Linked DNA regions of Callithrix jacchus. The protein of the gene in region 3 binds, or shares a complex with, the protein of the main gene of each other region. Links are inferred from orthologs where the notes say so. Each region holds a gene or a part of one and is shown on either strand. Other genes may lie near its edges. The genes, in order: HERPUD1, UBE2J1 and FAM8A1.

Evidence for each region.
Region 1: FAM8A1 (region 3) and HERPUD1 share a complex: the UniProt entries of both Homo sapiens proteins name them as parts of the HRD1 complex. The link is inferred for Callithrix jacchus from reciprocal best matches to the Homo sapiens genes FAM8A1 and HERPUD1.
Region 2: FAM8A1 (region 3) and UBE2J1 share a complex: the UniProt entries of both Homo sapiens proteins name them as parts of the HRD1 complex. The link is inferred for Callithrix jacchus from reciprocal best matches to the Homo sapiens genes FAM8A1 and UBE2J1.

The regions. Positions count from the first base shown.
Region 1 is NC_133521.1:14,811,163-14,814,771, forward strand, and holds part of HERPUD1 (homocysteine-responsive endoplasmic reticulum-resident ubiquitin-like domain member 1 protein), read left to right. Parts: intron 1-42; coding exon 43-120; intron 121-208; coding exon 209-283; intron 284-1,777; coding exon 1,778-1,908; intron 1,909-3,609. UniProt on the Homo sapiens protein: Component of the endoplasmic reticulum quality control (ERQC) system also called ER-associated degradation (ERAD) involved in ubiquitin-dependent degradation of misfolded endoplasmic reticulum proteins.
Region 2 is NC_133505.1:95,402,619-95,406,915, forward strand, and holds the start of UBE2J1 (ubiquitin-conjugating enzyme E2 J1), read right to left. Parts: upstream 2,842-4,297; 5' UTR 2,553-2,841; coding exon 2,522-2,552; intron 1-2,521. UniProt on the Homo sapiens protein: Catalyzes the covalent attachment of ubiquitin to other proteins. Functions in the selective degradation of misfolded membrane proteins from the endoplasmic reticulum (ERAD) and is essential for cells to recover from ER stress.
Region 3 is NC_133505.1:13,151,985-13,156,359, forward strand, and holds the start of FAM8A1 (protein FAM8A1), read right to left. Parts: upstream 2,827-4,375; 5' UTR 2,703-2,826; coding exon 1,991-2,702; intron 559-1,990; coding exon 438-558; intron 1-437. UniProt on the Homo sapiens protein: Plays a role in the assembly of the HRD1 complex, a complex involved in the ubiquitin-proteasome-dependent process of ER-associated degradation (ERAD).

The DNA.
Region 1 (3,609 bases), on a different chromosome or scaffold from region 3:
AGTGAAATGCTGACCTTTGTTACTCTTTCTTTCCATGGTCAGCATCCAGAGGACCAGAGATTAATTTATTCTGGCAAGCTGTTGTTGGATCACCAATGTCTCAGGGACTTGCTTCCAAAGGTACATCACCTAAACATTAATTTCTGCATGTTTTTAAGCACTCACCAGGTTAGGTTCAGGTCCTTAAGTAACTTCTTTTTACTTTTAGCAGGAAAAACGTCATGTTTTGCATCTGGTGTGCAATGTGAAGAGTCCTTCAAAAATGCCAGAAATCAGTGCCAAGGTGTGTCTGCTTCTTCATGATGATAACAGTTTGCATCATTCAGACTTAAGGAGTTGGATAAAACTGTTATTGAGAGACTGTATGGTGTTATTACCAAGTAATATTTTGATTCTTTCCTAGGAATTAGAGACTGTATTATCAACACACGTGATGGGTTAATGTAGCAAAGTGTTCCATTAGCACTGTGGTAGAAAAGTGGACTTACATATTGCACTATCTTCTGGGATGTCATCTGATCTATGGTTATTACGTATCTAGATTACTGAACTAACACTAATTGGGTTTTTATTGAATTTAGCACATAGCGAGGTTTCTTCAAAGAACCATTAATTTTTTTTTTTTTTTTTTTTGAGACGAAGTCTTGCTCTGTCACCCAGCCTGGAGCGCAATAGCATGATCTCTGCTCACCACAACTTCTGCCTCCTGGGTTGAAGCAATTCTGCAGCCTCAGCCTCCAGAATAGCTGGGATTATAGGCACATGCCATCATGCCTTGATAATTTTTTGTATTTTTAGTAGAGATGGGGTTTCACCATGTTGGCCAGGGTGGTCTCAAGCTCCTGACCTCGTGATCTGCCCACCTTGGCCTCCCGAAGTGCTGGGATTACAGGTGTGAGCCACCACATCTGGCTGGAGCCATTAATTTTATAAAGAGTATAAAAGTGAATATATTTTCTTTGGAAATTTTCATTGTAATTAGTTGGATAGGAAAAGGTCAGAGTCTTTATCAAGTGATCCATAAAGAATTTTTCTTTTAAATTGGTCTCACTTTGTTGCCCAGGCTTTTCTCAACCTCCTGAGGGCAAGCGATCCTCCCACCTCAGCCTCCTGAGTAGGGCATGTGCCACTGGACCTGGCTTTAAAGACTCATATGTGACAGACAAAAGCATTTATTTTTCATTTTACAATGTTTATTCACATATATGGTATTAGTATTCTAATGGAGTGATGCATTCTAAATTTGTATTATATTTCCTAAAATATTTGAACAGAGCATAGGAAATTCCCTATTTTGCCATTATCAGATCTAACAAAAATCTTAAAGGCACTTTGTTTCATTTTCATGCACTGTAAATTTTTAAAGATGATCAAAAACAGTATCATATCAAGACTGACTTGTATTGGAATACTATTTTAGAAAGTTGTGGGCTGGGTTATATTTATAAATCTTGTTGGTCAAATTTCTGTGATGAGCAAACTTAACAGCATCATCAGAAAGCTTTCTCACCAATGATAACTTCATTGGAAGCTTTTAATGAAAGTGTAGCATAGTTACTCTAGGGAAAGATAGGAATATTTTAGTATCTATGTATTGAAAATTGTGTTGACTAAATGTCAGAATATTTTTTACATAACAATGCTTCTATTTAATATTGTCATGTTCAGAGGTGGAGGGTAGGAGACATAAGCCATTGACAGCAAAATAATTTTTTTCGCTTGATTTCAGACAGTTGCATCAGCTCCTTTGTTCTGTGTTCATGTTACACTTGTTTAGGTGGCTGAATCCACAGAGCAGCCCACTGGTTTTAATCAGGGACAGTATCCTGGGGATTCCTCAAGTGATGATTTAAGGCAAAGGGAAGTTTTTCGGAACCTTTCTTCCCCTGGATGGGAAAACATCTCAAGGTGAGCGTTATAATAACTTGGACCGTACAACATGAGTGTGCCTCATTTGCATCAATTTAAGAATAAGGTGTGTTTACACGTATATAATCAGAACTTTTAAATGTATAGAATTTTGCTTTATAAGTAGCTTCACTTTAAAGAGCTCCTATATTTAACTTAATACACAGACTTTTAGTATACACAAATTTTAAAAGTTGGCAATGCATATATTGAAAAAAGAAAATGTAGGCGTTTTATCCTTCCATTGTGCTGACCACTTGGCTGCTGTCATGATAGGAAATTAGTGCTGCTGCAGGAAGAAACAGCTGTTGTAAGCATCGTGCAGCTGCTTTGCTAAGTGGCTTTGTGCTTTATTCTAACAATGGGTGACCACAAGGGAGAAACTGTTTAAGAAGTGTTCCTCCAAAGACTTGGGGGCACTAGGAAAATTGGCCATCTCTTTATAACTACTAAAGCTTTTTCTCTAGAGCAAAAGTCAGAACTAAATGCTCTGTTATTTGGATTTTTCTAACTCTTGGAATACCTTGTTTTATGAAAGTACTTTTGGGGAAAAAATTTGTTAACCACATGTTGAAATTCTGTAACTCTCCAATTACCTGTCCCCCTTTTCCTAGTAGTTTTTATATGCAATATTTTCTAAAGCCAGGTGTTTTAGGAATTTATTTTTTTTCCCCCTTAATGGAACTTTCAAATATACAAATATACACAACAGTGGGGACTGTATCATTAATACCCACACCATCCACCCAGGCCTAAGAAATAATGTTCAGAGTTTTACCATATCTCATCTATTACCCTTTCCCTTTTTTTTTTTTAAGTATTTAAAGGTAATTCCTAGACATTATTTCATCCCTGTATACTTCAGTATATAACTGTAAAAACCTTTTCGTTATCTTGTGTATCTAGAATGCCATTATCAAATCTAACAGAAACCTTAAAATCACTTTATCATTTCATTTCTATGCATTGTAGTTTTCTTAAATGATCAAAAACAGTGTCATACCAAGGATGACTTGTATTGGAATACTGTTTTAGAAATACTCTGTATGGACTTTAGTTAAAAGATTGTCAGCATATAAGTTGGATAATTATTGGATAGAAAATTATTGATTAGAAAAACTTACAACTACATCCCTTATTCTGATTCAACTGTTCTTGAGAATTGAAGGCCATATTTGACTCTCTGAATTTCACCATATTTAAACTTGATTTCATTTAACAAATATTTATTGAACAGCCAGTACATATAACTTTGCTTAAGGATACAAGTTGACCTGCAGGAATGGCCACATAACCAATTCCTGATCTTCCGGCAATTCTATTATGATTTCAATTTTGTGATGTGCTACCAAAGAAGTTCACTGTGTAAGAAGCACGAAGCCAAAGATGACTCGCATACACCTGCCTGACAAAGTTGAGGGCTGTGTGGCGTGATTAAAGAGGCGTGCATTTGACATCAGACCAGCTCTGAAATCCAGTCCTGCTGCTTATTAGCTCAGTGACCTTGTGCAAAGCCCATGTCTTCCCTGAGCTGTACTTGGGCTCCCCTTGTAAAAATGTCCTTCATGAGATTGCTGTGGATCTAGAAGCCTGTAAAGGACCCCAGGTGGTCAGTACGCATGCACAAGTGATGACATGCACACATCACTATAGATACAGATCTAGGGAACAAGTGGCTATTGGGAAGATGGGAGAGATTTC
Region 2 (4,297 bases), about 82 Mb from region 3:
AAGTAAAGGATTATATCCCTCACACTGTGTGGTGGCTTTTGTTTGGTTGGTTGGCTGGTGTTTTATGTGCGTGTGTGTGTGTGTGCACGCACCCTGCCATACACAGGAGATTGGAATTTTCAGTTGTTTTCCTTCATATAGGCATTACTCTAAAAAATACCACAGGACTGAGAATAAAGCAAAGGAAGGATTTTCAGGATGCCTCCCAGCATTTTCAGTAAGTCTCATATCTCACCTAATTCAACTTCTCTATGAATTCCAAATAATCAACACACTAACAAAAATAGATTTTTAAGAAGCATTGTGGCCGGGCGCGGTGGCTCACGCCTGTAATCCCAGCACTTTGGGAGGCCAAGGCAGGTGGATCACAAGGTCAAGAGATCGAGACCATCCTGGCCAACATGGTGAAACCCCGTCTCTACTAAAAATACAAAAATTAGCTGGGCATGGTGGTGCGTGCCTGTAGTCCCAGCTGCTCAGGGGGCTGAGGCAGGAGAATTGCTTGAACCCAGGAGGCGGAGGTTGCAGTGAGCTGAGGTCACGCCACTGCACTCCAGTCTGGGGCCTGGTGAGGAAGCAAGACTCTGTCTCCAGAAAAAAAAAAAAAAAGAAAAGTAGCATTGTTTTTTAAATCAGCAACACTATCTTTGAGGAAATAAAACCAAAAAAAGGAAGCAATTTATGACAAAGCTAGAAGCATGTCAGCCAAAGCTCAGCCAGTGGATGATAGTTCGCATACTTTGGAAATGTACAAAATTCTGGAGAATTTTAAAAGCTTATCATTGTAGTATTAAGTCTAACCTATTGAAATTGAGTGATGTTTTCTGACAACAATCTCTTGGGTTCCACCAGTTCTCCATTCCAAACTGCACTACTACTCACATGTGGATTATCCTCTGGACCTTTCACTAAGCACCTCTGCTGTCCTAAGGAACCCTGTGAGCAGGGAGCCACCAGATGTTTCTACCCAAATAGTACTAGTTAAATCTACCACAATGTAAATAATTCAATCATACATTAAGCTTTTCTTTCTTCCCCTCTTTCTCTTTGGTCTTTTCTTCCCCCTACCTCCACTCCAGGTTTTTGTTTTGTTTTGTTTTTTTGAGATGGAGTCTTGCTCTGTCGCCCATACTGGAGTGCAATCGCGATCTTGGCTCACTGCAACCTCCACCTCCCAGACTCAAGCCATCTGGGACTACAGGAGTGTGCCACCACCATGCCCGGCTAATTTCTGTATTTTTAGTAGAGACAGGGTTTCCCCATGTTGATCAAGCTGGTCTCGAACTCCAGACCTCAAGTAATTTGTCCCCCACCCCCACAAGCCTCCCAAATGCTGCGATTACAGGCACGTGCCACCATGCCAGGTCTTCATATTTTTTAAGGAGTCAGTGGCCCCTAAAATGTTATGACCAAATCTACACACTTGGTCACCTAAGGACATTTCTAAGCCTGGCAGCACTCAAGCTAACAAAGCTCCCTCAAATCAATATCCTCAGGCTTTTCTGGGATTTTTGCATATTCTGAAACCTTACAAAAACCCCCAGATTCACAATGTCAACTCTTTCCATAAGGATGCTAATTTTGCTAATTCCTACTGAGAAACAGCTTTTTTTGGAAGGAAATTTTAAGCAAAAGCAAGAGTCGGTGAAATCATCATTAATATCCTAGAGTTTGCAGAGTTAACTGTGGAGTTTCTTCCTCCTGGCAAAATTTACCAAGGTACAGATAGAAAAAAATACCATTTAGACGATCCAATGATTCATTTCAAGCCTGTTGTATTAAGCTGAGAACGCTAGTTACTTATCTTTATTATGCACCAGAAAGTAATTAAAGGCTAGGATTGCTGGGACTGCTTGTGTAAATGAAGCAGGATCATTAAATGCAGGAAAAGAATCTCTACGACTGAATATAGATATATTTCATATTAGCCAGTATGGCAAAAATCAAGGTTAGTTCCCATGTACAGGGTTCAACCAGGTATTTTTTGTTTGTTTTGTTTTGTTTTAGTTCTATAGTTAACTGGCTTAGTTACAGAACATTTCCTTTATGTCTGCAATTCTATTCGGCCCAGGTGCCGCAAGTAAGATATTTAAACGACCAACCCCTCAAATGTGAGTAATGCAGCCGGCTAACAGAAGTCCAGTGGCAGTGACCGGGAGGGGATAGCGACGGTGTTCCCGATGCAGGTACAGCAAGGGGTTGTTGACTGTCGCCCACCGACATCACCTTTACACCTGTTCTTAGGGATGAGTTTCTGACCCAGCTCTACGGGACGGGGCGAAGATGGGAAAAGGGAGAGGCCGGGTGCTGCGGCGCGCTAGCCTGCCCGAGGATTAGCAGCGGGCGTTCACCGGGCCACCCCGCCCTGCGGCCTGCACTTCCCGGGCAGGCGGCGGTCTCGCGTAGAGCGCGACACCGGGAGCGGAGCCATGAGTGGCGCCAAACGCTAGGGGACCGCGGCGACCGCCCCGGGGTCCAGGTCACTCTGCCCTCTTCGCCCGGGGGCCCCAGCCTCGCTCACCAGGACTCTTCAGGTTGTAGCGGGTCTCCATGGCGGGTCGCTGGCCTGGCTCCGGCCTCCCGGGCCGCTGCCCGGGTCTCAGCACGGCTCAGGCTGACGCGGTCTGGCCGAGGAGCCTCCGCAGACGCCGCCCAGTCCAGCCCGGACTGCAGGCGGGGTGACGAGGCCGAGTGCGGGCGAGGTGCTGGCTTCGCGATGGCGCCGCCTCCTCCGCTGCACCCCCCGCCTCCCTGAGAGCCGGGCCGGCGCCGGCCGGGCGTCGCTGAACCGGGCGACCGGGCCGGAGATCAGCCTCCTCGGGTAGCCGCAGGCCCAGCCCCGCCGCGGCCGCGGGGCTTGCGTCACCTGCCCTCGTCCGGGTTTTGTGAAGTTGCCTGACGTGGCAGCAGCTTCGTGGCGGTCGGTCACTCCCCAGTCGCCGCCGGCCCCGTAAAGCCGGCTTGGGATCTGCAGGAGCGAGCAGTGTCTTTGTCCCCTCGCCCCGGCCCCCGGAAGCCGAACTTCCCTCTGGCCCTCCGGGGTCCCCAGGCGCTAGGAGCGCCGGCCCTACCCGTTGCAGGAGAGGTCCGGGACCCCCGGGCCCTCGAGAGCTCGGAGGGGGCGCCGGGCTCCGGCTGCAAAGCTGTTCACGCGCGGTCCCGCGGGGTCTGGGAAGGGCTTTGTTTATAGATCCAGTTGCTGTGGCGGGGCAGGGGTGCGGTGGTGGGGGGCGCGGCGAGAAACAGGGGTTAAGTGAGGGGGAGAGGGGAAAGCCAGTGGCGAGGGAATGGAGGAGGATTTTTTTTCCCCCTGTTCAGTCGGAGTCTCGCTCTGTCGCCCAGGCTAGAGTGCAGTGGCGCGATCTTGGCTCATTGCAGCCTCTACCTCCCAGGCTCAAGCGATTCTCCCACCTCAGCCTCTAGAGCGCTGGGACCACAGGTGTGCGCCACCACGCCCGGGTAATTTTTTGTATTTTTGATAGAGACAGGTTTTCACCATGTTGGCCAGGCTAGTCTCTAACTCCTGACCTCAGATTATCTGCCCTTCTCGGCCCCCCAAAGTGCTGGGATTATAGGCGTGAGCCACTGCACTAATCAGAGTTGTATATTAATAATTTTTTTCGAGTAGTGTGTTAGGTGCAAGACACTGTTTTAGGCGTTGCAGAAGTTTGTTTGCTTTTGATTTGTTTAGATTTAAAAGCCGTCAAAAAAAAAGGAATTACATTGAATTGAGAGAAAGCATACAAATATGAAAGATTAAACTTCAAAGAACACACTTCTTGCTTCAGTGTCAAATGTGTGGGATTGAGAGAGGACTATGAGTTCAAAAGACTTGAGAAGGAGTAGGAACCTTAGGACCGGAAAGGAGGGAGGGAATGGGAAGGTGGGGAGGATAGAGAGGATTAATCAGGTTGGGCAAGTGTTATTCTGTTATTTAAAGATACAAAACTCTTAAATTTGATTTGTTTTCTGTTGTTAAATAATCTAAATCCGTGAGTTTCTTAGTGAAATTGGGAGGAAAAAAGTGAAGGATATCTAAAATTAGATGGTATCTTTTAAACCATTCCCCATGTTGTTTTTTGTATAGTAAACTGATAATCTGATTGGCTGAGATATGCGAACAAAACCAAACTTCAGTGCTGCTTCATTCATTCATTGTGTTGGATCTTCGAATTAGCTACCACTTGACATCCTCGCCTGCCACAGCTCCATAAAAGCCCTTAATTTGTGCAATAGGCCCTACCACAGTAAGGCCTGCGAAGCAGATGCTGTATATAATGAGTTCCTATTTGATAGG
Region 3 (4,375 bases):
AAAAAATTAGCCAGGCATGGTGGCATGAACCTGTAGTGGCCAGCTACTTGGGAGGCTCAGGCAAGAGAATTGCTTGAACCCGGGAGACAGATGTTGCAGTGAGCCAAGATCCCACCATGGCACTCCAACCTGGGCAACAGAGCGAGACTCTTGTCTCAAAAAAAAAAAAAGTTGAATAAAATCAAACCAGGTTTGGAGGCTCTTTTTACCTATTTTTGATAGGCGAGATTCCCACACATCTTACAGAATTCAGTAGAAAATTTTAGTTATTTCTTAAATCAACAAGAAAACCATAAATCTGACAAAGCCCTCATAAAGAAATCATGAGACTGACAAGCTCATTATCCATATAGTCTCGTGCAGACAAACAGAATTTAACAAAACAATAGTTTTAAACAGTAGAAATAAAAACCTTTCTGCAAATGTCCTCAACTTACTTTATCCCACTGAGGTGCATAATACTTAAGACAATGGTTGCTTTTATAAAGAAGAGAATAAAGAAATCCACCATCTCTGCCATAAATCTGTGAGCCAAGGAGGGAATAACATATTCTCTGCCTGTAAATTTAAAAAAAAAAAAAAAAGAAGTTAGGAAAATCCAATCATTTCACATAAGCCTTGGAACACAAGCCATATAATGAATTGGTAAAGTCAAGGTACAACTTAATAAGAAATATAGCCTTGCAGCAACTATTGATATTGATTCCACCAAGAATCCATGTTATTAGAGTAACAGTACCCCACTATTTACTGAACTTAAAGTTTGCTTTCCTAACTTTAACGTTTAAAATTTGATTTCACACAGCTGGATGCAGTGACTCACATCTGTAATACCAGTACTTTGGGAGGCCAAGGCAGGCAGATTGCTCGAAGCCAGGAGTTCGAGACTGGTCTGGCCCTGGCCAACATGGCGAAACCCCGTCTCAACAAAATATTAAAAAATAAGCCGGGCATGATGGCACATGCCTATATTCCCAGCTACTAGGGAAGCTGAGGTGGCAGGATGGCTTGAACCTGGTAGGCGGAGGTTGCAGCGAGCCAAGATCGCGCCACTGCACTATCCAGCCTGGGCGATAGAGCCAAACCTCGTCCTCCACACCTCCTCCCCCCGCCCCCAGAAGTGATTTAACAGACAAATCTGATTCGAGTACCCAATACATTTCACTAAGAACTCTACTGAGAATCCGAGTGATCACATCTAAGTGACTGAAAATTGATTTTAGTACAAATCAAGGTTATACATTAGCAATTAGTATAAAGTAAATCCCTGTAACCTCTCCTGTGTGTTTAGTTTGTTTTGCTTTCTCTAAAATAAACCCAATGAATATCAATCTGTCATGCTAAATTCTGCTGGGATAAGAGGCATCACGTAGTTCTTGTCCCTTCTATCTGTGGCTAAATAAAATAAACGAAAAGTGTAATAGCTTAAATAGTAAACTAATTCAAAATATTCTAGTTCACACACAGAAGCAAAAACAATTACACAATGTACAAGATCAATAAGCCAGGGCTTCTCGATCAAATGAAGTGAAGCTTTGACCCAATCAAAGCTTCGTAACTCCACTGGTATCCATGTCAATCTCCTTTTATGTCCGTTCAGTTCCACTGTCCTAAGTAGCCAATGTCTGAATAATTTCCAGCATTAACAGTTGAGCACCTCCAAAAGTGAGTTTGCCATCTGCGAGTTTAGCTTTGGACCTCACTCTGCACAGCGTGAAAACCAAAGGAAGAGCAATTTTTTTCACGTAGAAACAACTAGTCCCCATGAGTAGGGGAATCAATTCGGAGTGCCAGGTCTAAAGGAAGAAGAAACTGTTGCCTCCTTGTACATTTTGGGGATTTAGGGCCTGGACAAACGATAGCTAGTGCACGGGCAGGATCGCTAATTGGAGTAGCAGCAGCAGCAGTGACAGGTCTAAAAAGCGTGCCAGCTCTACCCACAGGCCCCTGAAGACCCTTCTACGCCCAGCCTCCTGCTCGCTGGTCTCACCTGCCTGCTGCCTGGTCTCGCTCGGGCTTCGAGAAGGGGCTGCAGATCCTACCCTCGTCACTGGAGTGGCCCGGGCCGACGACTGCACTTGAGGAGCCCGGGGTCCCAGGTTCGCGACTGGAGCAGGGGTGCTGAGGCCGGCAGCTGTCCCCGGGTCGGGCCCCGCAGGCCCGGGGCTCACGAAGTAGAAGGGGTTGTAATAGCCCAGCTGCGGGGCCGGCGGCAGCCCCGCGGCCTGGGGGATGGCAGCGCCGCCCGAGGGGAAGCTCTGCGGAGACGGCTGGGGGCTGCAGTAGGCGGGGAGGGCGGCCAGGCCGCTGTGCCAGGTGAGGTAGCCGCAGTAGGACTGCCACAGCCACTCGTGCACTTGCCGGGAGTACTCACGGGCGCTCAGCCGCGCCTGTCTCTCCCGCGGCGCCGCGGCCTCGGGCGCCTCGCAGCCCGCCTGCTCCGGCGGCCCAGCACCGGAGCCGGAGGCCGCCTCCCCACGCTTCCCAAGCTCGCGCGGGGGCTCTGATTCGTAAGCGGCGGCAGCTGCGAGGCCCGGAGCTGTGGGCCGGCCCGGGGCCTGGGGTTCGTCCTGGGGGTCGTCGCGGGGGCATGGGACGGCGGCGGTAGGAGGCCCTCTCAGGGAAGGGACGGGCTCGTGGTCCCCCCCGCCTTCGTCTTGCCCAGGAGGGCGGCCTCGGGCTTCCTCGGGCCCCTCTGCCATCGTCGTCTCAGCAGCACCCACCGCGGTACCTGTCACTGCTCGGTCTTCCTCCCCAAATTACCCCTCCCCAACAGTCCGTCGCCAACGCCGCAGCCGCAGCCGCAGGCGTAGGCGTCAACAATCCCCGGCCGGAAGCGGAAGCCCCGCCCCTCAGGAGCGACGCCCGCCGCCGGGCGGAGCTGGGAAAAGAGGGCGGGGAAGTGCGGCTGCAGTCCCCGGTTCGGTCCCTGGTAGTAGCTGGCTGGTCGGCTGGGACCAGACCGTCGTGGGCCCCCGCCCCCGTGTCGTGGCTTTAAGTCTGTGGCCTGAGGACTCTCTGTATATTCCCGTGGGGTAGGACCTAGGTTGTCCTGGGAGAAACAGCAGAGGGATAAGAAGCATTTCCGAGACGGGTCTCAGGGCCAGCGCGGCGTTTTCTGTTGCAGAACTGCGACTGTTGTTTTGGGCTCCAGGCTAGTGCTTGGTTGCTTGTGTTCATTCCAGTTAACCATTAGTACTCGAGAAGGTGGCACAGAACGCATCTATACCTTTAGAGGATAAGAAATTAAACCAGGCCGGGCGCGGTGGCTCAAGCCTGTAATCCCAGCACTTTGGGAGGCCGAGGCGGGTGGATCACGAGGTCAACAAATTGAGACCATCCTGGTCAACATGGTGAAACCCCGTCTCTACTTAAAAAAAAAAAAAAAAAAAAAAAAAATTAGCTGGTCATGGTGGGGCGTGCCTGTAATCCCAGCTACTCAGGAGGCTGAGGCAGGAGAAATGCCTGAACCCAGGAGGCGGAGGTTGCGGTGAGATCGCGCCATTGCACTCCAGCCTGGGTAACGAGCGAAACTCCGTCTCAAAAAAAAAAAAAGAAAAGAAAGAAAAAGAAATTAAACTAAACCGGTACATATATTAATATATATAATTTTTTTTATAGTTTTGTTTTTGTATCTTGAGACGGAGTCTCACTCTGTCGCCCAGGCTAGAGTGCAGTAGCACCATCTCGGCTCACTGCCAGCCTCTGCCTCCTGGGTTCAAATTGTTCTTCTGTCTCAGCCTTCCGAGTGGCTAAGATTACAGATGTGTGCCGTGACACCTGGGTAATTTTTGTATTTTTAGTAGAGACGGGGTTTCACCATGTTGGTCAGGCTGGTCTCGAACTCCTGACCTCGTGATCCAGCCACCTCGGCCTCCCAAAGTGCTGGAATTACAGGCGTGAGCCACTGTGCCCGTCCAGGAAAGTATATTGAAATGTAAGTAGTGAGGTGCTATATATATATTTCAGAGGAAGGGGAAATTATGCATGGACTAGAGTACTAACAAAAGGCTCTAAAGCCTGGGATATGCTCAGGGCCTTTCCATAACAGAAAATGAAAAGGCACCTAAATTTGAGACTGGATTTGAGGAAAGGCACAGTTCGGCTGGAGTAGAAAGCTTGTGTTTACCACAGTGGAAAGTAAATTTTCATAAATGCAGACTAGCTACAGGATGAGGACAGAATCCAGCTTTTAAATCAGTATAATCCCTCTTCTTTTACATTTGAAAATCTCTGCAGTGATATGTCCGTGTTATCCCCAGCACCATACAAAGGACATATAAGGGCCAATACAGTGGGAATGTTTATTAATGATATTAATGGTGATGCTTCCTCTTTACCCTCTGTAGGTTCACTGAAAATCACCGACAGGAGT